Oryctolagus cuniculus: one gene and its partners. The protein of the gene in region 1 interacts with the protein of each later gene in a biochemical or structural test. Links are inferred from orthologs where the notes say so. Each region holds a gene or a part of one and is shown in the gene's direction. Other genes may lie near its edges.

Region 1 (4,260 bases):
TAAGCTCAGAGTTTGAAGATGTCCAGGAACAGGTAAGAAGTGAAACAAAGATAAGCAGATGAAAGAATAAAAATTTTCCCTTCAGTCATACTCAGGGCCCAGGTTTCACCACTTGGCCACATTAAATCCTTGGTTAGTCACAGGGACTTTTTTAGAAATCTAACTTAACCAAAAATAGAAAATTTCTTTGTGACTCTGCACACAGTTTCTCCTAGGCATATAAAATCATTTTTCCAATCCATCCCTGAATTCCTTAATCCTATAGATAATGCTTTTTTAGACCACGTAAGCAGTTATTAATAGAACTTTTTCTTGCAGGAATCTCTAGTGTTAGTGTTGATTGAAGTGGAAGATTTTTGCCATTGTGTACAGGAAGTCATAGAAAACGTGAATTATTTCTGGTTATTGCCAACTTTATGAAGTTAATGGGGATAAATTACAGCTAAATGGGCATTTTTTTTTACAGCTTTATTAAGGTATCCTTGACATAGAGTGAATTGCATATATTTATAGTGCACAGTTTGATAATACAAATGGAACCATCATTATGATAAAAATAATTACATCTGTTACCCATAAAAGTTTAATAAAGTTATCTGGATTTGATTGCTCTTCCGTGTTTACATGCTTAATGAGCTGAGTAAGCCATTTGAATTTCTGACTTCTAACAGTCGAGGGTTATATGGAATGGCTGCTTAGGCAAGGGGATTCATCCCTAAGATGAAGATTGTAAAAAATGGTTCTTTACCCCTCTGTTTATTGTGAAATTTAGAATATTATTGATCATCTTATCTCAGTTCCACAACTGTTTCATTTGGTTCCTTGATGAATGAATTGGGGAATATTAATAATCCATGTATAAAATGTTGGTTAACGACTCTATAACTTTAACAGATGTTATTGTGATATGCTGGAATATTTTTTGAAAGACTTATGAAGGAATTAAACTATGTAACTGTCCTTAATTAATAATTCTTTCACAGGCAGTCTGGGCTCTAGGCAACATTGCTGGAGATAGTACTATGTGCAGGGATTATGTCTTGGACTGCAATATCCTTCCTCCTCTTTTGCAGTAAGTTCTTTCTTTTTGCTTTTCTTTCTTTTGAAAAATAAAGATATGGAATTCCTCAGAAAGTAGTATCTCTTTGGAAATCATTTTGGGCTTCCTGTTAATTTTCTTTCCAGATGTTTTCTCGTTAACTTGTTCAGATCATTTGTTCAAACACCTGTTTTATTCCAGTGCCAAAATTCTGAATTAGTTACATTATAATTAAATAAGTTATTCCACAGGAAAACTATTTGAGGATATCTGTTTATCAGTAACATTAAATAGTGTTTATATTTTATGCCATCAGAGAATTAATGTCTATTACATAATTTAGTATCATATATATTATATATGTATATATATATATCTATATCTATCTGTATCTACATATATATATATATATCTTGCTTTTAGGTTATTTTCAAAGCAAAACCGCCTGACCATGACCCGGAATGCAGTATGGGCATTGTCTAATCTCTGTAGAGGGAAGAGTCCACCACCAGAATTTGCAAAGGTGAGGATTTGCGTGGGAAATTAGGCAGAAAAAATGCAATTGAATAATATGGCAACCAATATTAGTGTTCGAAAGTGCAGCCAGGACTTAAACCGGTGCCCATATGAGATGCTAGCACTGCAGACAGTGGCTGTACCCACTACGCCACAGCACCAGCCTCATCCAGTATTAATGTTTATCGAAAGATTATTTTGGTAAAATTTAAAATAATAAAAAGGTTTTTCAGTTTCTAGAAAAGGCGGACTCTTTGTATTTATTTGTTTTTATTTGGAATTATTTTTTCTCTGTTTTAAAAATCCCTGAATTCATCTTAAAACCCCCTAGCATTTTTTTCTTTGTAACAAACTTGGTATCTAAAATACCAAGTTTCCTAGTTCCTTTACCTCTTCAGCTTACAAATAGTGCATTTTGAGGAAGAACCTCATTGTAAGAATTTGCTTCTGAAATTACTTTTCTTGAGCTTTGACTGCCTCATCATAATAAGCTGCAAAATTTGTTAGATAAGAAGGTGGAGACTTCCAGACCCGGACAGGCTGGGCCTGTACTACGCCCCTCATAAGCAAGAAGCAGCTATAGAAGATATGATTCTGTGCCCTTCAACATCCCTTAGGATTAAGAGAATGGAGTTTCTGAGAGGGTAATGATGTAGGCAGGTATATAGGATAAAATCGATCAGGTTTGTTAACTGGAAGACCACGCCTTCACCATGCCCCTGTGTGACCTCATGCCCCTACCTGGCCACACATGTGTGACCACCAGCCAATCAGACTTGCCTTTGGACGTGGATTAAAGGCTTGGGACACGGTGGGCCCAGCCTTTTTTTCAGGGGGTGGGGGGACTTTTTGCCATTGTGGGCCCTGGCTGCTCTACATTTCCTGGCCTGCATGCTCCTCCACATGGCTGGTTCCTGGTACATAGTATGAATCCAAATTTCCCTCTCTTAGATGGGGCCTGCACTCTCCTATGCATTTCTCCCACTGAATAAAAAGCTTAAAAACTTTAAAAAAGCTGCAAACCACTGGCAGCATTCCTAAGGATGGAAATGCCACTTAGTCACTTGCTGCTCCATTTCCAGAAGTGTAAATCACCTAGTGTATGACTTACTGCCTTCTGGAGTGTTTCATCTCCTTTGTCTTTTATCCTGTTAAATTTCATAATCATTCTATCTTCCTTTCACAGGTTTCCCCCTGTCTGAATGTGCTTTCCTGGTTACTGTTTGTCAGTGACACTGATGTACTGGCTGATGCCTGCTGGGCCCTTTCATATCTATCAGATGGACCCAATGATAAAATTCAAGCAGTCATTGATGCAGGAGTGTGTAGGAGACTTGTGGAGCTACTGATGTAAGATATCATTCAGAAAATGCCTGCTTGCCCCTTCTCCCATGCTACTAGTTTTCTATTTGCTAATAATTAAATATTAGTTGTATATTATACTGATAAATAGTGCTTTTAGGCTAGTGTTCTTTTGTTACTTGTTTATGTCCATATCAGATTGTTTTGGTATTTTGGTTTTAAAGAATCTCTCAGGTTTCTGCTCTAGCAGTCCTTCAGTGGAAACATTTGGAACACTGATCTGTATAGTTTCAGCTCATACTGGATAACTTCAGACCAACCACTCGGTATCAAAAGGCATATTGCCACTAAAAATTGTCATTCCTATTCTGTCTTCTTTAGCATTTAGATTAGTGTCAGACATTTAATCTTATTTTATTCTCTTTGGGGTGCCTTTGATGATGTAATGGAAGATTTGCTAGTAATGTAAATGATTTGAGACTGTTTCAGATTTTCAGGTAGTCCAATAGAAGAAAAAATAAAATAATTTAATGAAGGAAATCTACAATTATAAGGAGCATAAAATTTAATTGAAGTGCAAAGCAGATGCCAGGGGACATTGTCTCACATGTGGCATGTGGATTGGGTTACATAAATTTAATGCACAAAATACAAGACTTTGGGTTTATAGTTGACCATAGGCTGGGTGCAGATTAGTAACATTGTGCTGTTGTGGATTAGAAGCAACATGATGGTTCAGGACTCAGTAGTATAGCATTTAAAATCTGGAAAGTTATTGTATTCTTTAGTCATTAGGTTCATACATGCTTTAAACCATTTATTTTTTAGTTATCAGATATTAAGTAAGAAGGAACTGCTACACTTTTGAGAAGGTAATCAATCTCGTTAGAGGAGAGAGCAAATAGGACCTTGAAGGAAAGTTAAAGGGCATTATTTAGCTTGACATTAGGACTTAATTTCTTTCTTCAAATGTATAACAAAAGCTTCATATGGATGGTTTTTTGACCAGTGAAGACATAGTAGCTTTAGTAGAAAAAGTTCAGTATTGAAGTATGAATTCTACCTTGATTTTTCAAGGTAGTTTAAGTGTCTAGTCTGTGAAGACTAGACAATTTATATAACTTAAAATTGTGCGAATAATCACTGTTGCTCTCCATTATCACAAAAAACCAGGTAATAAGGACATGAGACCTGTGTTAAAGAAAGTGAGGGTAAATTTGAAATCCACTTGATCTGGGAAAGATTATTAGGAAAGATTTGCAAGTTTTTCTCCAAAAATAAATTCCATCATCTTGATAGTACCTTTCTGCCCTTAAATCCTATCACACATTATTTCTTTTGTATTTTGGTCCTAAGGAAAAGAGACCATGGTTAGAACTGTTGGCTGTAATGTTTCTTTTTAT
Region 2 (4,796 bases), on another chromosome or scaffold:
CTGAAAGCTTACTTAACACTGATTGCAAGACCTAGGAGGAGAGGACTGACATGCTCGGACGGTGCCTTGTGGTGCGTTGCTGAGTTAGGTAGCGCACACTGAAGGGAACGGGGCCTCTGCCGCCTGGCGTGGTCAGCTGGTGCTCTCCATCCCCGTTTTTGCAGCTGCAGGCTCTGTAGTTGAGACCATAGCCCTGACGCCCAGTCCCACGGCTCTGCGCCTTCACCAGGCCTTGGAGCTGGCACAGGCGGCCCTAGCTGCATGCTCTATCCAGGGAGCCACCCAGAGAGCCCACAGGGCCAGAGAGGGTGGAAGACACCGATGAGGATCCTTTACCAAGGGCCTTTGAAAAGTTCACAGGAAATGCCTGTTAGGAAAAACTGCATGACTTTCAAAATCTGATTTTTATTTGAAAGGCAGAGAGAGCGAGCTTCCACCTGCGTGCTCCCTTTCCTGTATGGTGGCAGGGACCCAAGCCCCTCAGCCATCATCTGCAGCCATCTGGGGTGCTCATTTGCAGGAAGAAGGCGCAGGCGCAGAGTGGCTGGTCTCAAACCTGGTGCCGCGGTGTGGGGTGCAGGCAGCAGCCCCGCTGCTGGAGCACAGGCCCACCCCGGGCTTCAGAGGGCTCTTGTCCTAAAGCAAACTGTAATGCCATTTTCTGTGAACTTTTTTACGTGCCCTTGTACACGGGATGCCTTGATTTGGGGGCCTGAGGTTTAGCAGAAGGGCAGGCTGAAGAGGGACCTGTTTCTGAGCCCAGGTTGACGCCTTTAAGCTCCAGGGTGTAGAAGGAGCAGCCTGGGTCTGAGTTCACATCGTTACATGATAGCTGTTACTGCCCAGGAGCTTCTCCCGAGTCTTTGTCCCTGAACCAGCCAAGTGGCTGAGTGAGTTTAGCTGGAAGTCAGTAGTGAAGTGCAGCGAAGGGTTGTGGCCTGGGCTGGTTAATTGCCTGGAACGATGGTCTTTATCTCATGAGGTCAGACTTGCAAACGGAGTTGAGATGGCGCATCCAGCATCATTCGGGGAAAACATCATTTGCTGTGTTGCACCCATCCTGTTAATATAACTTTAGAACCACATCTGTGCCATCGTGGTTATCCTTACTTGTATATGAATTGCTTTGCATGTCCTAAATTCCTCTGACCAAAAGTAGATGTGGTTTTTCTGGGTACAGACTCCTGGGAGGGAGATTGTGTGTCTAGTTTTCCCACTGGACTTCTGCTTCCTGTTCAGGGCCTGGTTTTGTTGTTGCTGGCCAACAGTGGGCTCAGGGCTGTTCTCAGGCCCAGTGTGAGTAGAGCAACAGACACAGGTGGTGCTCTGGGTTAGTCACAACCTAGGAGGACGGCTAGGCAGACGGTGTCAGTCTCCGCAGCCAGGGCATCACTTTGGCTGTGGGGCAGGAGTGTTTAGAAGCCTGTGGATGCCCTGTGCCAGAGACACAGCTTCTCCTGCAAAGATCTAGAATTCCTCTGTAGCAGGCCAGGAGTCAGCTACTTGTGTAGTGGAGGAAGGTCGGTGACAGCATCCTCTCGTGGGTGGGCTGGTGAGAATGCCGGCAAGCGTGGTGTGGCAGAGCCCTGCTGGCGGTGGGTCCCTGGGAAGTCCCCGCACTGGAGAGGAGACTTTGTTTGCTGAGGTCTTTCCTGGTTGCTTAGGTTCACATGAGCCCTTTGCCCATTTTGAGGAGTGCTCATGTGACCAGCGTGCTCTTTAAGGTAATGTGTCAGCAGGAGACGGCCTCCTGCTCCAGGCGGTGTGTCAGCCTCTGATCAGTCCTGTCTCTGCCTCCAGTCTCCCGGGACCCACAACCTCAGAAGCCATGTCGAAGTCCCACAGTGAAGCCGGGTCTGCCTTCATCCAGACGCAGCAGCTGCACGCAGCCATGGCGGACACATTCCTGGAGCACATGTGCCGGTTGGACATCGACTCCGCGCCCATCACGGCCCGCAACACGGGCATCATCTGTACCATCGGTGAGCCTCGGGGACCGAGTCCGGGAAGGAGCGCGCATTGTGCGTTCTGCTGGGGGTGAGCGTCCCCAGCTCAGAGGCCTAGGCCTATGCCACCAAGATGGGCAGAGGGCTGGCCAAGCTCTTAACCTGGGCTTTCCTGACTGTAGGGGGCTACAGACCTGTGCAGGGCGTGGGGAGAGGTGTTCCCCTAAATCAAGAAAGCAGGCTAGCACATCGACGGCCGTGAGTGTGCTCTCTGAAAGACTTGCGTTATTTGGGGGAGGAAACCGAGGAAGCGTTTCTTTGAGTCACTGACGCTGTGCCGCAATATGTAACAGGCCCTGCCTCCCGATCGGTGGAGACGCTGAAGGAGATGATCAAGTCTGGGATGAACGTGGCGCGCATGAACTTCTCCCACGGGACTCACGAGGTGAGCCTCGGCTGTAGGCGACAGGGAGGAGTGCCTTGTTCACTTAGGGTGGGCTCCACAGATTCCAGTCTGGGTGTCCCAGCCCTAGGCTCCTGCCCTGAGCTCTCTGCAGCTTGGTTCTGGCCCAGTTCAGGCTGCAGAGAGCTGGGCAGGCGCCCAGAGGTTTCCACTCTGGCAGGCGAGTGCCCCGCCCGTCAGCACTGTGCCCCCAGCCTCGCCCTCTCCAGAGGTTCTGCTGCACGGACAGAAAACCAGCCGGCGAGTGTTCGCGCTGGAGCTGTTGGCCGTGGCAGGAAGCGGCGCTCTGAGGGTGCTGGGGTTCCCTGAGGGGCCGCAGTCGTGGGGCTTCATTTCGGCATTGGTAGAGGAGTAATGGGCAGGCTGACGTTGCCCTCTCTTGCCCTCTGTCCTTTCCTCCTCTGAGGTCAGTGGTGAGGGTCACTCTCTGGCATTTGGAAGCTGGTGTTAAGTTTGGACTAAAAATAAGCCCTCGGGCAGTGCAAACCGCGGGGTGAATTCTTGCTTTCTGGAAACATGAGACTTGACTCTCCATGGTAAATGCTGCAGCCCCTAACTCTGGGGCCCAGCCAGGGCCAGCAGGCACCTCGGGCAGCCTGAGGCGCATCCTGGGCTCTCACCAGGAATTGCTGCGTGTGTCACCCTGCCCAGAGGGCCAAGGCAGCAGTGAGGATCAGTTCACCTTTGACCCCTGCTGCCGGAGTCTGCTGTGGGCCCTGCCTGCGGGTGAGGAGCAGAAATAGATTTGGAGGCGCTGATCTTTCAGCCGCTGCGCGCTCCCTCCACCAGTAAAACAACACCGCCCCACTCGGAAATGGCAAGGGCTGCACCTGTCGCACGAGGGCGTGGGTCTGTGCTTCTGATTCTTATTCCCAGATTAAAAGTGGGATGAAAAAGGAAAGAAGCGCAGTGCCTCTGGTGGTTTAGGGTCAGGCCCAGGTGAGCTTCCAGGGTCAGCATCTGGGAAGCGGGCCTGAGGTGCTGAGGTGTGGACTGACGTGACCGCCTTCCCCCTCCTCACCTGGCAGAGGCACGTCTGCTTCTGTGTCTGGGCTTTTGTTTTTTTAATTTATTTAATTCTATTTGAAAAACAAACAGATTTTCCCACTGATTTATTCTCCAAATGCCTGCAGCAGCCAGGAGGCAGGACTCGGTTCAGGTCTCCCGCATGGGTGGCAGGGGCCCGCACACTTGAGCCCCGTCACCTGCTGCCATCCAAGGCGTGACGAGAACCAGGACTCAACCCCAGGCCCTCCGGTATGGGATGCACACATCCCAGGTGCTGTCTCCAGTGCTCAGTCCAACACCTTGTCTCTGGCAGCTCTGACCGTGTCCCTAGCCCCCGCCCTGGCAGCTCATGTGGACCATCTGTTCTTGCTGAACATGCAGTTCCACAACGCCAGGCTGGCCAGAACTGACTCTGACATAATCTAAATTTAGAGCCTTCCACAGGGCAGCAGTAATGGTGGGGTGGGCACCACTCCGCAGATAATAAGCAGCCCAGCCCCACCCCAGCCAGCACCCTGTCAACCATTTAGAATGTTTATGACATAAGATTTTACATCCCCAAGACCAAAAATGGCATGTTTATATACTTTGAGTTGCAAAAAGTATTTTCTGTCACTCACCAAAAAACTTCAAGTTCCATAAAAGTAGAAATTTTACAGACACATGACCTGACATAATTTTTTAGAATTGTTTGAAAGGTAGAGGCAGAGCGACATCTCTGATCTTCCCAAATGTCCATAGCAGCTGGAGCTGAACCAGGCCAGAGCTGGGAGTCCGGAACTCACTCTGGGTCTCTGTACAAGGCAGGCAGGGACCCAGGCACTTGAACCATCACCTGCTCTGTCCATGCACTGTGTTGTCAGGAGGCTGGATCGGAAGTGCACCTGGGACTCAGGCGTGTCTTCAGTGGATTCTTGACTGCTGTGCCACACTCAGCCCTGACTTTTTTTCATGGAAATCAAGATCAGTATAGAGTGTGATAATCAGGAGAGCTTCAAAACTCGTTCTAGAACCAGAAGCCGTGGCACCGGCAATAAATAAATCTTTAAAAAAAAGTTAAAGAAAAAGAATTTGTAAGACCATGGCTTGATGAAATAGAAGATTGAAAAATTAAGCTGAGATCTGATTCTTTGTGGGAAACAGTAAATCAGAAATCTCAGGAAGGCCTGGTCAAGAATACGAGGATGGGGGCCGGCGCTGCGGCTCACTGGGCTAATCCTCCACCTTGCGGTGGCGGCACACCGGGTTCTAGTCCCGGTTGGGGCGCCGGATCCTGTCCCGGTTGCCCCTCTTCCAGGCCAGCTCTCTGCTGTGGCCAGGGAGTGCAGTGGAGGATGGCCCAAATGCTTGGGCCCTGCACCTGCATGGGAGACCAGGAG
Region 3 (3,745 bases), on another chromosome or scaffold:
TCACCCCGCCGTCCCCGCGCCCATGTCTGTCCCCAGCGGCCTCAGGCTACGGGACCCAGAACATTCGACTGAGCCGGGACGCGGTGAAGGATTTTGACTGCTGCTGCCTGTCTCTGCAGCCCTGCCATGATCCTGTCGTCACGTGAGCTGCGGACGGGGCGGGCGGGGGCTGCAAGGGGACAGCGCCCAGGGGCCCTGCTCCTTGGCCCTCGCCGGGGGGGGGGGGGTGTCTGCAGGGGGGCGGAGGGCGCTGGAGCACGCCTGGCCCCCAGCGAGCACACGGCACTGCCTGCCGCTGGCGTGCCGGCACGGAGCTCAATGAGATACTGGGGTAGCAGTATGTCCCACAGGAGCGTGATGAGAGCAGATGGCTCCTCGCGTCCCCAGCCACTGACCGCTGCTTAAGGTGGACCCAGATAAAAATCAACAGCGGGAAAGGAGCGCACGGGGCTGAGTGAGGAGACCCGGGCCGGAGCCTCCGCGGCTCCTCCCAGCGCAGTCGCGTGGCTGCTGGCTTCTGCAGCCCCAGAGACGCGCACCCCGGCCTCGGCGCCCAGGTCCCAGGGGACCGGCTGACCGCCGCATGGCCGGCCTTCCTCTCCGGTCACCCAAGGGACAGGACATTCCAGGGCCTTCGAGGGCCGTGCCCAGGGTTCCGCAGCCCAGGCCTGCGAGGGAGCCCTTGGCTGCCCTCCCGTGCTGGTCGGCGGTGCCCGGGCAGGGAGCTGACCCCGAGCCCCTGCCTGTGCGCCTGGGCCAGGGCCGGGCTCTCCTCATCCCGCCTTCCCTTGGCAGCCCCGACGGCTACCTGTATGAGCGTGAGGCCATCCTGGAGTACATCCTGCACCAGAAGAAGGAGATCGCCCGACAGATGAAGGTGAGGGGGGCGGCTCCGATGCTGAGCGTCCCGCGCCCCGCGCCCTCCCGTCTCGGTTCCTCTTCCGCCGGGGCCTTTGCCGGGCTGTTCCCCTCCCACTTCCCCTGGTTGATTTCAGCTGCTGCGTCCAGGGCCCCCAGGGCCTGCCCTAGTCACCATCCCTCCTCCCTCCCTCGGGCTGTGTCACAGCAGTACCTGCTTGGGGCTGTCTGACGGGCTCCACCCCAGGGGCGGGGCCGAGTGTTGCCCACCTTGCAGTCCTAGGCCCCTGGCAAAGACTTGCTGGATGAGTGGCCCTGTCTTCATTTCTCTGGGCCTCAGTTTTAGCATCTGTGAAATGGGCTCCCGGGGCCACATTAGAAGGCACTGCAGGGCACGTGGGAGATGCACACAGCAAGAATTCCCGAGGTGTTTACTCAGAGCCAGGCCCGGCCTCCAAGGACGAACCATCTGCATTTTGAGACCCACTCCTCTAAGAAGTCTTTGAAAGAAGTGGGAGTTAGGGAGACGGCCCGGGGGGTTCACCAAAGCACTCTTAGCTTGAATTCTGTGCACAAAGTTTTCCCGGCACCCGCACAGACATGCACTCAGCACTCAGCACTCAACAGGCAGGGCGCCTCCGCCACTGTGAGCCCATTTCGCAGAGGGAGAAGCCGAGGCTGGGAGAGTTCCCCCGCGGCCGCGGCCGGCGCAGAGGTGACGGAGTCGGGGCTTCCGCCCTGGCACTCTGGCTCTAGGGCACGACGCGCAGTCCCGGACTAGCCCAGCGAGGAGTGCCTGGCGTCCTGCAGTAGGGGAGGAGGCACAGATTCCCCATCCCCCCGCAGTGCCTCAGCTGCCTTCCCTGAGCGGCCCCGCCCTGGGGAACTGGGGAGTCTGCAGCCCCCAGCCCGCGCCGGGGCGTCCTGGGCCTCAGCCTCTCGCGCCCTCGCCCCGCCCGCAGGCCTACGAGAAGCAGCGGGGCGCCCAGCGGGAGGAGCAGCGGCAGCTGCGGCGCGCTGCAGCGCAGGACCAAGTGCGGGGCTTCCTGGAGAAGGAGGCGGCCATCGTGAGCCGGCCCCTCAACCCCTTCACGTCCAAGGCCGCCGCGGGGCCCGGCGCAGGTGGCAGGGAGTGGGCTGGCGGGCGGGAGGAGCCCGAGCCCGCGCTTCCCCGAGCCGGCACCCGAGCCCCCGCTTTCCCACAGAGAATGCACAAGCGGGGCCCAGCGAGGGGCCCCCGGGCCAGGACAAGGAGAAGGCGCTGCCCAGCTTCTGGGTCCCGTCCCTGACCCCCGAGGCCAAGGCCACGAAGCTGGAGAAGCCGGTGAGAGGGGCCGCCCCTCGGTGTCCCCGCGCCCGCGCGTCCCCGCACCTCATCCGCCGCGCCCTGACCCGACCTCCCCGCCCGCAGTCCCGCACCGTGACCTGCCCCATGTCCGGGAAGCCGCTGCGCATGTCCGACCTGACACCCGTGCGCTTCACGCTGCTGGACGACTCGGTGGACCGCGTGGGGCTCATCACGCGCAGCGAGCGCTACGTGTGCGCCGTGACCCGCGACAGCCTGAGCAACGCGACGCCGTGCGCCGTGCTGCGGCCCTCGTGAGCCCGGGGAGCCGGGGAGCCCGGGCCGGGCGAGGGGCGTGGCGGGGGGCCGGCGGGGCCCTGACCTGCGACCCCGCCCCGCCCCGTCCCGCAGGGGGGCCGTGGTCACGCTGGAGTGCGTGGAGAAGCTGATTCGGAAGGACATGGTGGACCCCGTGAACGGAGACCGGCTCACCGAGCGTGACATCATCGTGCTGCAGCGGGTGGGCTGCCCCGCCCCCTCTCAAGACTCCGCCCTCCCGCCCGGGCCCCGCCCCTGCCCCAGGCTCCGCCCTCCCGCCGCCTCTCCACAGGCCCCGCCCCTGCCCCGGCCGCCCCTTCTGACGGAGACCTGTCCGCAGCGATCCCCCCCAGTCATCTCGACCTGCGTAGGACCCTCCCCGCCCCGCCCCGCCGCGCCCTCACCCCGCTGTCTCCCTTCCCAGGGCGGCACCGGCTTCGCGGGCTCCGGGGTGAAGCTGCAGGCGGAGAAGTCGCGGCCGGTGATGCAGGCCTGAGTGCGAGGGGAGACCCACGAATAAACGGCTGGGAGCGCAGTCGCGCGTGGCGCCTTTCTTCGCGGGCGGGGCCCGAGGAGGGGCCGGGATGCCCGGGTGCTCCCGCGGAGTCTGACCCCAAGGCGGACGCACGGCGTTGACCCCCGGGGGGAGCGGCCAGGCAGAAACCCACCCTGACCTCCGCCAGGACCCCGAGGCTGGCCGAGCCCGGGCACCCGAGATGCCCCGGGAGATACGCAGCTCTGGCCGGGCACCCCTCCCGCGTGTCCGTCTCCCCCGCTCCCCACACGCCCCTCGCGGGCCCCAGCAAGCCCCCGCCCACCGCTTTGTACCCAGTGCCCACGTCCCCCCCCCCCCCCCCCCGTGTTCCTGAGCATTCCCGGCCACAGGCTTTCCCGAGACCCCTCACCCACGCGAGTCCTTGCCCAGCCCCGAGAGCCGCAGCCGCGTTCACGCGTGGCACAGGCCGCCCCCTCTCTGCCCCACCTGGACACGAACGGTCCTCCCGGCATGGCCTGGCTGCCCCCCCCCCCCACGTAACTCCCACGCCTTTATTGGAAACAGTGGCCTTGCTGGCCGCGAGGTGGGGCAGGGTCTGCTCGGAAAATAGGTCTGCTGTGGTCGGAGGCCGCGGCGTGACAAGGAGAGGAAGCGAGAGTGAAACGCAGCGCCGGCTGCGGCGGGCGCGCTCCGCACAGCGCACTGCCCCAGCGGCAGCCGATGGCGCGCGCGAGAGTCGGGAGGTGTGGGGTCGCCTAAGAAGGAGATTTAGCGGCCGGCGCCTGCCG
Region 4 (4,260 bases), on another chromosome or scaffold:
GACTTGGAAAGGATTCCGTAGGGTCTTTGGAAGTGGGCGGAGGCAGTAGGGAAACAGATTAAGCAGAGAGACCAGGTTGGGGCTCCTCTAGGAAGCGTGGCTCGGAGGCTCTGGTTCAGTGCCAAAGGCAAAGGCCACTGATGGTCTTGGGAGGCCATGTGAAGTGAAGACGGATTGAAGGGTTGTCCTCTCCTCACAGGCGATGGGGGGATGAGGGCACACAGTGAGGTGTTGGGATGTTTCTGCCTTCCCTAAAAACTTTCATATTGTGGTGCCCAGTGATCTGCTGTCCGTTCTTCACGCTGTTAAAATCAAACGAGGGTCGAACGTCCCTTGCGGTTTGGGACTTGCGCGTATGTGTCGGAGCACCGGGCCTCAATTCTGTCTGTGCTCCCAATTCTAGCTGCCGGCTAGCGGGCTCGAGGCAGTGGTGATGGCGCAGGTAGCTGCATTTCTGCCATTCGTGTGGGAGCCCAGATTGAGTTCCAGCTCTGATTGGCCTGCCCAGCTTTGCCTGTTGTAGGCATTTGGAGAACGAACCAGTGGATGGGTGCGGGTGGGGGCGAGGGGGAGCTCGCTTCAGTGCGCTCACCATCTTGCTCTCTTTTCCCTCTCCCCTACCCTCTCCCTCCCCATTCCCTTCTCTCCTTCCCCCTCCTCTCTGCCTTTCAAAGTAATTAATTAAAAATTGAAACCAAGCCGAGTAGATGTTTTAGGGGATTTTCTTTATGCCCTTGGGCACGTGGGATCACTGGCCAGCTGATTGAGCACTAACGTGTCTGAGAATGTCAACCATCGACGTGCACCGTCCCTTCGGTGGGTGGTAGCTCTCTTCTTGGAGACCAAGTCCGAGAGCCCTCCGTCCCGGGCAGCTGCACACTCGATTGCTTTGTGCTGACGAAGCTTGCTTTCGTTTGCTCAGGTCCTAATGCCGGCCTCGATGGTCTTATTCCGTGGACGAGGTTCTGCAAGGTGGGTAGCGGGCGAGTGTTGCGCTCTGTGGGGGCGGTTACTTCACTGTTTGCTTTTCTTGGCATTCTCACCAGGCCCTCCAAGCCCCAGGGCACGCTGTGCAGGAGGCTGGTCTCCAAGCCAGAGCCTCACAGGAAGCACCTGCCGGGTGATAACATTTTTTCACACCCGAAATGAGCCTTCTGTTAGCTCACTTCAGCCCCTTGCCTGGCAGCGTTTTGGGCCCCTTGATGTGAACTGTGTGCTTGGGGCTGTGTGAGTTTCCCTGGCCTTGCAGGAGCAGACAGGGTTCAGACTCTGCGGGGGTCACCCAGACTGTGGCCTGCCAGCTGTCCTGGCCCTTCCTGGTGTGGGGCAGCTGCTGCTTCTGTCCCCCCACCCCACGCCCGGAGATTATTCCTGACTGTTTTGCTACTGGGTGTGGAGGGAAGTGGATCCCAGCCCAGGGAAATGGAAGAGAGAAGAGCTCCAGGTCCGAAGGCTGATAAGGGAGAGGGCCCCTGCAGCCATCCGTCAGCGTGGGTTCTTTGGGTTTGATGGGGACACTTGGGTCTTTGGCAGCTGGCCCGGGTCGGGGGTGGAGGGGCAGTGGGAGGGGCATGACAAGTTACTATCTTGGATTTCTTTGTTCCTAATGTGTACCTTTGTATACTTTCAGGAAAATATAAGTGACAAAAATTTCTCCTTCTGGCTGTGGATTGAAAACATCCTAGAACTGATTAAAAAGCACCTGCTGTGTCTATGGAATGATGGGTAAGAGCCCCCGATGGGTGTGCCCTTGACACCTGTTCATTGCACGACCTAACCTTCCCCAAGCTGGTCTCCGTTACTTGACGAGACCTGTCCCTTCCAGGCTTCATGGGTGGACCCTCACGAGGTTAAACTGATACTTTTCTTTGTGTTTGTTTAATGGGAAGGACTCGAAAAAGTTCATGGGAAAGTGGAATTAAAAGTTTGACTTGATTTTGATACAGAAAAACTTCAGTGCAAAGGAAATGTTTTTTATACTATGTGGAAAATATAAAGTATGAAAAAGCTATGCATAGATTTTGAAATTATTTTTGCACCAACAGAAATGCATACTTTAAATGCCTCCTTTGTCCACATTTTGAAGTACATGCAACAAAAGTTTCTTGAGGGCCTACTATGTTGTCCCTGAAGAAGGAAAATCCCTTTTTAACTTAGCAAATTGTTTCTATCTAACTTATTCTAAAGATCAGCCATATTTCAGCAAAAGCTTTAAATTGATCAAAAGGGCCAGAATATGCAAATTTACTCAAGTCTTCCTGTCCAGAATAAAAGTTGCATAAATTGAGAGCTTTTCGTGGCTTTTAGGATCACCAAGTGGCAATAAAAGGCTCGTGAGTCCAGCATGTGTTCATTGAGCACCTGTTCATCCCACTTACGCCATGCTCATGGGTGCGTTTCCTTTTTTACTTAAGCATGTGCAAGCATACGTGAAACGCGCCCTTAAATGTGAAAGACGTGCAAAAACTGTCCATCCAGCCATTTCTGGCCTCTGGTCTCTGGTCAAGTCCCCATCACTTTCTTGGTTTGTAAAGTGAACACGAACGTTAAAGCTGTGATTGAACCGGAGCCCCTCCCTCCACCTCTGCTTGTCCAGGTGCATCATGGGCTTCATCAGCAAGGAGCGAGAGCGCGCCCTGCTGAAGGACCAGCAGCCCGGCACGTTCCTGCTGCGGTTCAGCGAGAGCAGCCGGGAAGGCGCCATCACGTTCACGTGGGTGGAGCGGTCCCAGAACGGAGGCGGTGAGTGCAGGGCAGTGGGGCTCACTCTGTGACCTCCTTCACAGCTCAGGCGCGCGGTGGGATTGCAGAGCCCCCGCTCCCCCGGCTGAGCCCCTGCATATGGTTTACAAAACCACTGTGGACAGTGGGGGCTCGCGCCTGGAACAGATCGGGGAAGTGATAGGTTTTTTTCAGACAAGGCCAAATCCTTTCCTTTTGGTCCAGTTTATTATCTGTGGATCAAGGATGTGACTCAACATCATCTGCAGCCAGGACTTGGAAGGAGTTGCGTTCCCCACGGGCATGATGTCGGCTTCCACCTCGCCTAGCGTAACCCCAGAGTGGAACGCACGGTGGAGGACGGGCCTTGGGAGAAGAGCCCGCGGGCGATTTACACGCCCCGAGCGGGCGTGTGTGCTCAGGGGCTCTCGGGAGGAGCTGCAGCTGTAAATTTGTCTTTCTCCTAAATTGGATGAAGGAGTCCTTGGCTAAACGACTCCAGAAAACCTTGGCATTATAAAGCGGATTTGTGAGGAGAAGGCTGAACAGCACAGATGAAAAATGTTAGCAGCAGAGCGGCCCCTGTTTTGTTGATTTGAGTCCGCTGTGTTTGAAGACTAGACAAGCCGGCTGTGCCAGCGACTCCTGTGCTTTGCGTGGGTAGAAGTGAAAGGACAGGATCCTTTTCTTGTTCTGCTTATATTTTTTCCCCATGATGAAAAAGCCGGGGCTGGGATCAGATCATGGTCTAGGCAGGTGCAGGCTCCTGCCTTCTCTTTTCCCTGATAGTTCATTTTCTGAACCAGCTGAGAGACGGAGCCAGCAAAGCACTCAGAGGTAGAAAACCCTTGGTGCAGGCTGTACAAGCTGCTCAGTGGACCGCTTTGTCCAGATTCATAAATCTAAGCAGATAGTGAGACGTGCTGTGTTTTAAAGTAGTGATTGCCTTTATTTTTCCTATTTGAAAGAATTAGAATTTATGTAGGAATAAAACTGTCCTCCATCAGTGTTGTAACTCCTAGAGTGTGATTAGCTCGTACCGGGTGCAGTCAAATCCACAAACTGTGCCGTGTTTTATGCTCTCTTGTTTGGCATGTTTCCCAGGACTCACTTGGTTCTTCTCCTTTCTAGAACCTTATTTCCATGCGGTTGAGCCCTACACGAAGAAAGAACTTTCTGCTGTGACTTTCCCTGATATCATCCGCAATTACAAAGTCATGGCTGCCGAGAATATTCCTGAGAACCCCCTGAAGTATCTGTATCCAAATATTGACAAGGACCATGCCTTCGGGAAGTATTACTCCAGGCCAAAGGAAGGTGAGTGGGGTTGCGAGGAGAGCAGCACACGCGGTCCCCCGGTCCCCTGGTGCTGAAGGGCTGGCTCGCCGGCAGCGTCAGCAGCCACACTGCCTTTGTCTTCAAGGGGAAGGAGCCAGCACAGGCTCCACCCAGCCTGTGACATGAACCCCCCACTCCCTTTGAACTGCTACAGGCTGCATGCATGCATGCACAGGGTGGTGTGAGCTCAGTGCAGCTGAA
Region 5 (4,260 bases), on another chromosome or scaffold:
TGCCTGTATATGGGAAGCTGGTATTAGGTGGTGGTGACAGCAGCTTAAGTTGTGCCACAAAACTAGCCCCAACTTTATATTTATTGAGAGACAGAGTCAACATGAGTCTTAATCTTTGTTTTGTTTTGCTAATAACTGTTGTATTTGTAGGCTATGCCCACCCTCATAGAATTAATGAAAGACCCAAGTGTAGTTGTTCGAGATACAACTGCGTGGACTGTGGGCAGAATTTGTGAACTGCTTCCTGAAGCTGCCATCAATGATGTCTACTTGGCTCCCCTGCTACAGTGTCTGATTGAGGGCCTCAGTGCTGAACCCAGAGTGGCATCAAATGTGTGCTGGGTAAGGGGTTTTTTCCTGGTGAGAGAAAAGGAGTTTGCCTGAACCATGGCAAGAAAGTGGGAGGTGAGGGGTGAGGGGGAGAAATGGACCTACCTCACTGGAAGACTTTTTTGGAATAGCATCTCCTTTTTGATTTCCTCAGTTAAAGTGCGGGGGAGATGCCACCCACAGGAGCCAGTGGGAGCTGTTGACTCATGGCAACTGGCTCCCGAACGACTTAGAGCAGTCGTAGTAACGCAGCAGAGAAACTCTGTGGAGTTGCTTTTCTTTCTTGAATTGCTTGGGGAGAAGAAATTTTGATTAAGGGTGAGATTTGTTGGCTACAAGAAGCATCATTGCTGAGAAGAGAGAAAGGGAAGGAAGGTAGGCGGCCTAAACGCTGAGTCAGTGTGGGCTGCATGTAATTGATTGGGGCTTTTGAGGGAATGGGAGAGAAGTGCTAATGAGGGAGGAGTGGGGCAGGAGCCTTCCTGTACATGAGAGGTGAGATGGCAGCCCCTGGGGTAGGTGAAGGTTTCTGTTCCCTCGGAATCTCCCCAAGGGGTGGCGCCTGGGCCGCCAGCGGCTGCTTTCCCAGGCGCATTAGCAGGGAGCTGGATCAGAAGTGGAGGAGTCGGGACTTGAAACAGCACTCACTTGGGATGCCAGCATCCCAGGCAGCTGTTTAACTCACCCTGCCACAATGCTGGCCCTTGAATATTTTATTTTAAAGATACCTGTCAAATGTTAAGTTGTCTTGAGATGATCTTTTTTTAAAAAAAAAAAATTTTATTTGAAAGTCAGAGGAGAGGCAGAGAGAGAGAGAGTGTCTTCCATCTGATGGTTCACTCCTCAGTTGGCCTCAATGACCAGAGCTGCACCAATCCGAAGCCAGGAGCTTCTTCCTGGTCTCCCACATGGGTGCAGCGGCCCAAGGACTTGGGCCATCTTCTGCTTTCCCAGGCCATAGCAGAGTGCTGGATTGGAAGTGGAGCAGCTGGGTCTTGAACCGGCGCCTGTATGGGATGCCGGCGCTTCAGGCCAGGGTATTAACCCACTGTGCCACACTGCTGGCCCTTTGAGATGACCTTAACAGAAACATTGAAGATTCACTAGCTTTTATTCATTCTGAGGTCAATTGGAAAGAAACACTACCCAAGATGGCTTAGTTAGTGGGGGAGAGACAGAGTACTTCCCTCTGCTGGTTCACTCCCCAGATGACTGCAATGGCTGGGGCTTGACCAGACTGAAGCCAAGAGTTTCATCTGGGTCTGTGCTGTGGGTGGCAGGGGCCTAAACACTTGGCATTTCCGAGGACATTAAGAAGCTGGATCAGAAGTGGAGCAGCCAGGGCTCCAGTTGGTGCCCACATGGCATGACTGCACTGCAGGCAGTGGCTGTGTGCACCATGCCGCAACCCTGTCCCCTGGAGTGGGGTTTGTTTCAAGACTGATACTAAATCTCTGCGTTTCAGGCTTTCTCCAGCCTGGCTGAAGCTGCTTATGAGGCTGCAGATGTAGCTGATGATCAGGAGGAACCAGCCACCTATTGCTTATCTTCTTCATTTGAACTCATAGTTCAGAAGCTCCTGGAGACCACAGACAGGTAACTGATCTCCTGTACAGAAAGGTGTGATGTCTGGGTGCCCAACTCTGTTACACTGTGTGGAGAATGCGCAGCCTAATCACAGCAACATGAGACAGGAGCGCACTGTATCTGCTCTAGAGAGGTTGAAAGTACACTTAAGAAATTACTTGTTAGGCCGGCGCCGCGGCTCACTAGGCTAATCCTCCACCTTGCAGTGCCGGCACACTGGGTTCTAGTCCCCATCGGGGCGCCGGATTCTGTCCCGGTTGCCCCTCTTCCAGGCCAGCTCTCTGCTGTGGCCAGGGAGTGCAGTGGAGGATGGCCCAAGTACTTAGGCCCTGCACCCCATGGGAGACCAGGATAAGTACCTGGCTCCTGCCATCGGATCAGCGTGATGCGCCAGCTGCAGCACGCCGGCCGTGGCGGCCATTGGAGGGTGAACCAACGGCAAAGGAAGACCTTCCTCTCTGTCTCTCTCTCTCACTGTCCACTCTGCCTGTCAAAAAAAAAAAAAAAAGAAAAAAAGAAAAAAAGAGAAGAAAGAAATTACTTGTTTACAGGGGTGGGGAATGGCTAGCCCATGGACATATAAGTTCCATGAAATCATTTGGTCTGTACCTGCCAGGGCAACCACAGATGGGACTTGAAATTCAATAAATCTAGTTATTTATTAGCAAACTAATTTTTTAAGCAGGCTAATTTTTAAGTTGATAATTTTTAATTGTCTTCTAATGATATTACAAATACCCAGTGGCCCTTAACAGAAAAAAAGGGTTCTCTACTCCGAGTTTAGGTAAGAGTTGGGGTGGGGACTTGACCTAGCAGTTAGGATGCTGTATTCCGTATTGGAGCGCCTGGGTTTGAGTTTGATGCCTGGCTCGCTGTGGCTCCTGATTTCCAGCTTTCTGCTAAGGTGGTTCCTGAGATGCGGAAGTAATTGGGTTCTTACTGCCGTTTAAATGGGAGGCCTAGATTGAGTCCTTGGCTCCTGGACAAATCAAGATAGTGTCTGGCTCTCTACGAGAGTATACCCCACTTTTCTTCATTCACCAAGAGATGTCATTTTATACAATCTTGCACAGAGCAATGGGGAAGGACTAGTTAAACACGGAAGAATTTATGTCTGGTCCCTTCCTGATGGTTTACTTTTCAGTTCACACAAAACACAAAGATTAGAGGTTGTCCCTAAATTAGGATTCCATTACACATTTCAGAAAGCCCTATTTCAGACCTTTTGAGAGATACAGAGAGCTCCCAATCTGCTAGTTCACCCCAAATGCCCACAGTGGACAGGGCTGAAGCTGGAACCTGGAAGTGCAACCCAGATGCCCCACATGGGTGGCAGGAGCTTCACTGCGTGTGTGAACACCGCTGCCTTCCCGCATGTGCATGAGCAGGCAGCTGGATCCAGGAGCTAGAACTGGGGATGGAACCCAAGGACTCCAGGGTGCAACATGGGCACTTAAAACATTAATTTATGTGTTTGAAAGTCAAAATTAGAGAGGGAGAGACGTCGGGAGAGAGAGATCTTCTGTCAGCTGGTTCACTGCTTAAATGAACTCAGCAGCCTGGACTGGGCCAGGCCAAAGCCAGGAGCAAGGAGCTTCATCCGGTTTTCCCACATGAGAAGGGAGAGTAGGAGTGCTTTTCCAGGCACTTTAGCTTTTTTTTTTTTTTTTTTTTTTTTTGACAGGCAGAGGTTTTTTTTAGACAGTGAGAGAGACACAGAAAGGTCTTCCTTTTTCCGTTGGTTCACCCTCCAAATGGCTGCTGCAGCCGGCGCGCTGCGCCGATCTGAAACTAGAAACCAGGTGCCTCCTCCTGGTCTCCCATGCGGGTGCAGGGCCCAAGCACTTGGGCCATCCTCCACTGCCTTCCCGGGCCACAGCAGAGAGCTGGCCTGGAAGAGGAGCAACCATGACTAGAACCTGGGGTACCGGTGCCACAGGGGGAGGATTAGCCAAGTAGCCGCGTTGTCGGCCCTTTTTTTATTTGAGAGGCAGAGAGAACCTTCAATTTACTAGTTCACTCCCCAAATGGCTGCAACGGCCGAACCTGGCCTGATCCAAAGCCAGGAACCAGGACCTTTCTCCAGGTCTCCCATGTGGGCTCAGGGGCTCAAGGACTTGGGCCATCCTCCACTGCTTTCCCAGGTGCACAGGAATCTGGATTGGAAGTAAAAGCATCTGGGACTTGAACCAGCACCCATGGGATTCTGACACTGCAGATAGCGGCTTAACCCACTAAGGCCTCAGTGCCGGCCCTGCGACTTGGGCATTTTAACAGGTCTGGAGACCATAACCAACGTAGACATCGCTTGCAGAGACCTTTTCGGAAGTTGGATTCTTGGAT

Evidence for each region.
Region 2: the proteins of KPNA1 (region 1) and PKM form a complex in vitro, tested with the Homo sapiens proteins (2 studies listed by BioGRID). The link is inferred for Oryctolagus cuniculus from reciprocal best matches to the Homo sapiens genes KPNA1 and PKM.
Region 3: the proteins of KPNA1 (region 1) and NOSIP form a complex in vitro, tested with the Homo sapiens proteins (2 studies listed by BioGRID). The link is inferred for Oryctolagus cuniculus from reciprocal best matches to the Homo sapiens genes KPNA1 and NOSIP.
Region 4: the proteins of KPNA1 (region 1) and STAT1 form a complex in vitro, tested with the Homo sapiens proteins (2 studies listed by BioGRID). The link is inferred for Oryctolagus cuniculus from reciprocal best matches to the Homo sapiens genes KPNA1 and STAT1.
Region 5: the proteins of KPNA1 (region 1) and KPNB1 form a complex in vitro, tested with the Homo sapiens proteins (6 studies listed by BioGRID and IntAct, with this or other methods). The link is inferred for Oryctolagus cuniculus from reciprocal best matches to the Homo sapiens genes KPNA1 and KPNB1.

The regions. Positions count from the first base shown.
Region 1 is NC_091435.1:78,653,333-78,657,592, reverse strand, and holds part of KPNA1 (importin subunit alpha-5), read left to right. Parts: coding exon 1-32; intron 33-983; coding exon 984-1,072; intron 1,073-1,462; coding exon 1,463-1,562; intron 1,563-2,741; coding exon 2,742-2,905; intron 2,906-4,260. UniProt on the Homo sapiens protein: Functions in nuclear protein import as an adapter protein for nuclear receptor KPNB1. Binds specifically and directly to substrates containing either a simple or bipartite NLS motif.
Region 2 is NC_091443.1:110,885,119-110,889,914, forward strand, and holds the start of PKM (pyruvate kinase PKM), read left to right. Parts: upstream 1-1,828; coding exon 1,829-1,982; intron 1,983-2,299; coding exon 2,300-2,391; intron 2,392-4,796. UniProt on the Homo sapiens protein: Catalyzes the final rate-limiting step of glycolysis by mediating the transfer of a phosphoryl group from phosphoenolpyruvate (PEP) to ADP, generating ATP.
Region 3 is NC_091449.1:7,909,441-7,913,185, forward strand, and holds the end of NOSIP (nitric oxide synthase-interacting protein), read left to right. Parts: intron 1-36; coding exon 37-142; intron 143-795; coding exon 796-877; intron 878-1,820; coding exon 1,821-1,980; intron 1,981-2,063; coding exon 2,064-2,182; intron 2,183-2,269; coding exon 2,270-2,457; intron 2,458-2,554; coding exon 2,555-2,663; intron 2,664-2,885; coding exon 2,886-2,957; 3' UTR 2,958-2,996; downstream 2,997-3,745. UniProt on the Homo sapiens protein: E3 ubiquitin-protein ligase that is essential for proper development of the forebrain, the eye, and the face. Catalyzes monoubiquitination of serine/threonine-protein phosphatase 2A (PP2A) catalytic subunit PPP2CA/PPP2CB.
Region 4 is NC_091434.1:49,328,870-49,333,129, forward strand, and holds part of STAT1 (signal transducer and activator of transcription 1-alpha/beta), read left to right. Parts: intron 1-922; coding exon 923-972; intron 973-1,630; coding exon 1,631-1,725; intron 1,726-2,596; coding exon 2,597-2,742; intron 2,743-3,852; coding exon 3,853-4,038; intron 4,039-4,260. UniProt on the Homo sapiens protein: Signal transducer and transcription activator that mediates cellular responses to interferons (IFNs), cytokine KITLG/SCF and other cytokines and other growth factors.
Region 5 is NC_091448.1:24,006,168-24,010,427, forward strand, and holds part of KPNB1 (importin subunit beta-1), read left to right. Parts: intron 1-150; coding exon 151-342; intron 343-1,795; coding exon 1,796-1,926; intron 1,927-4,260.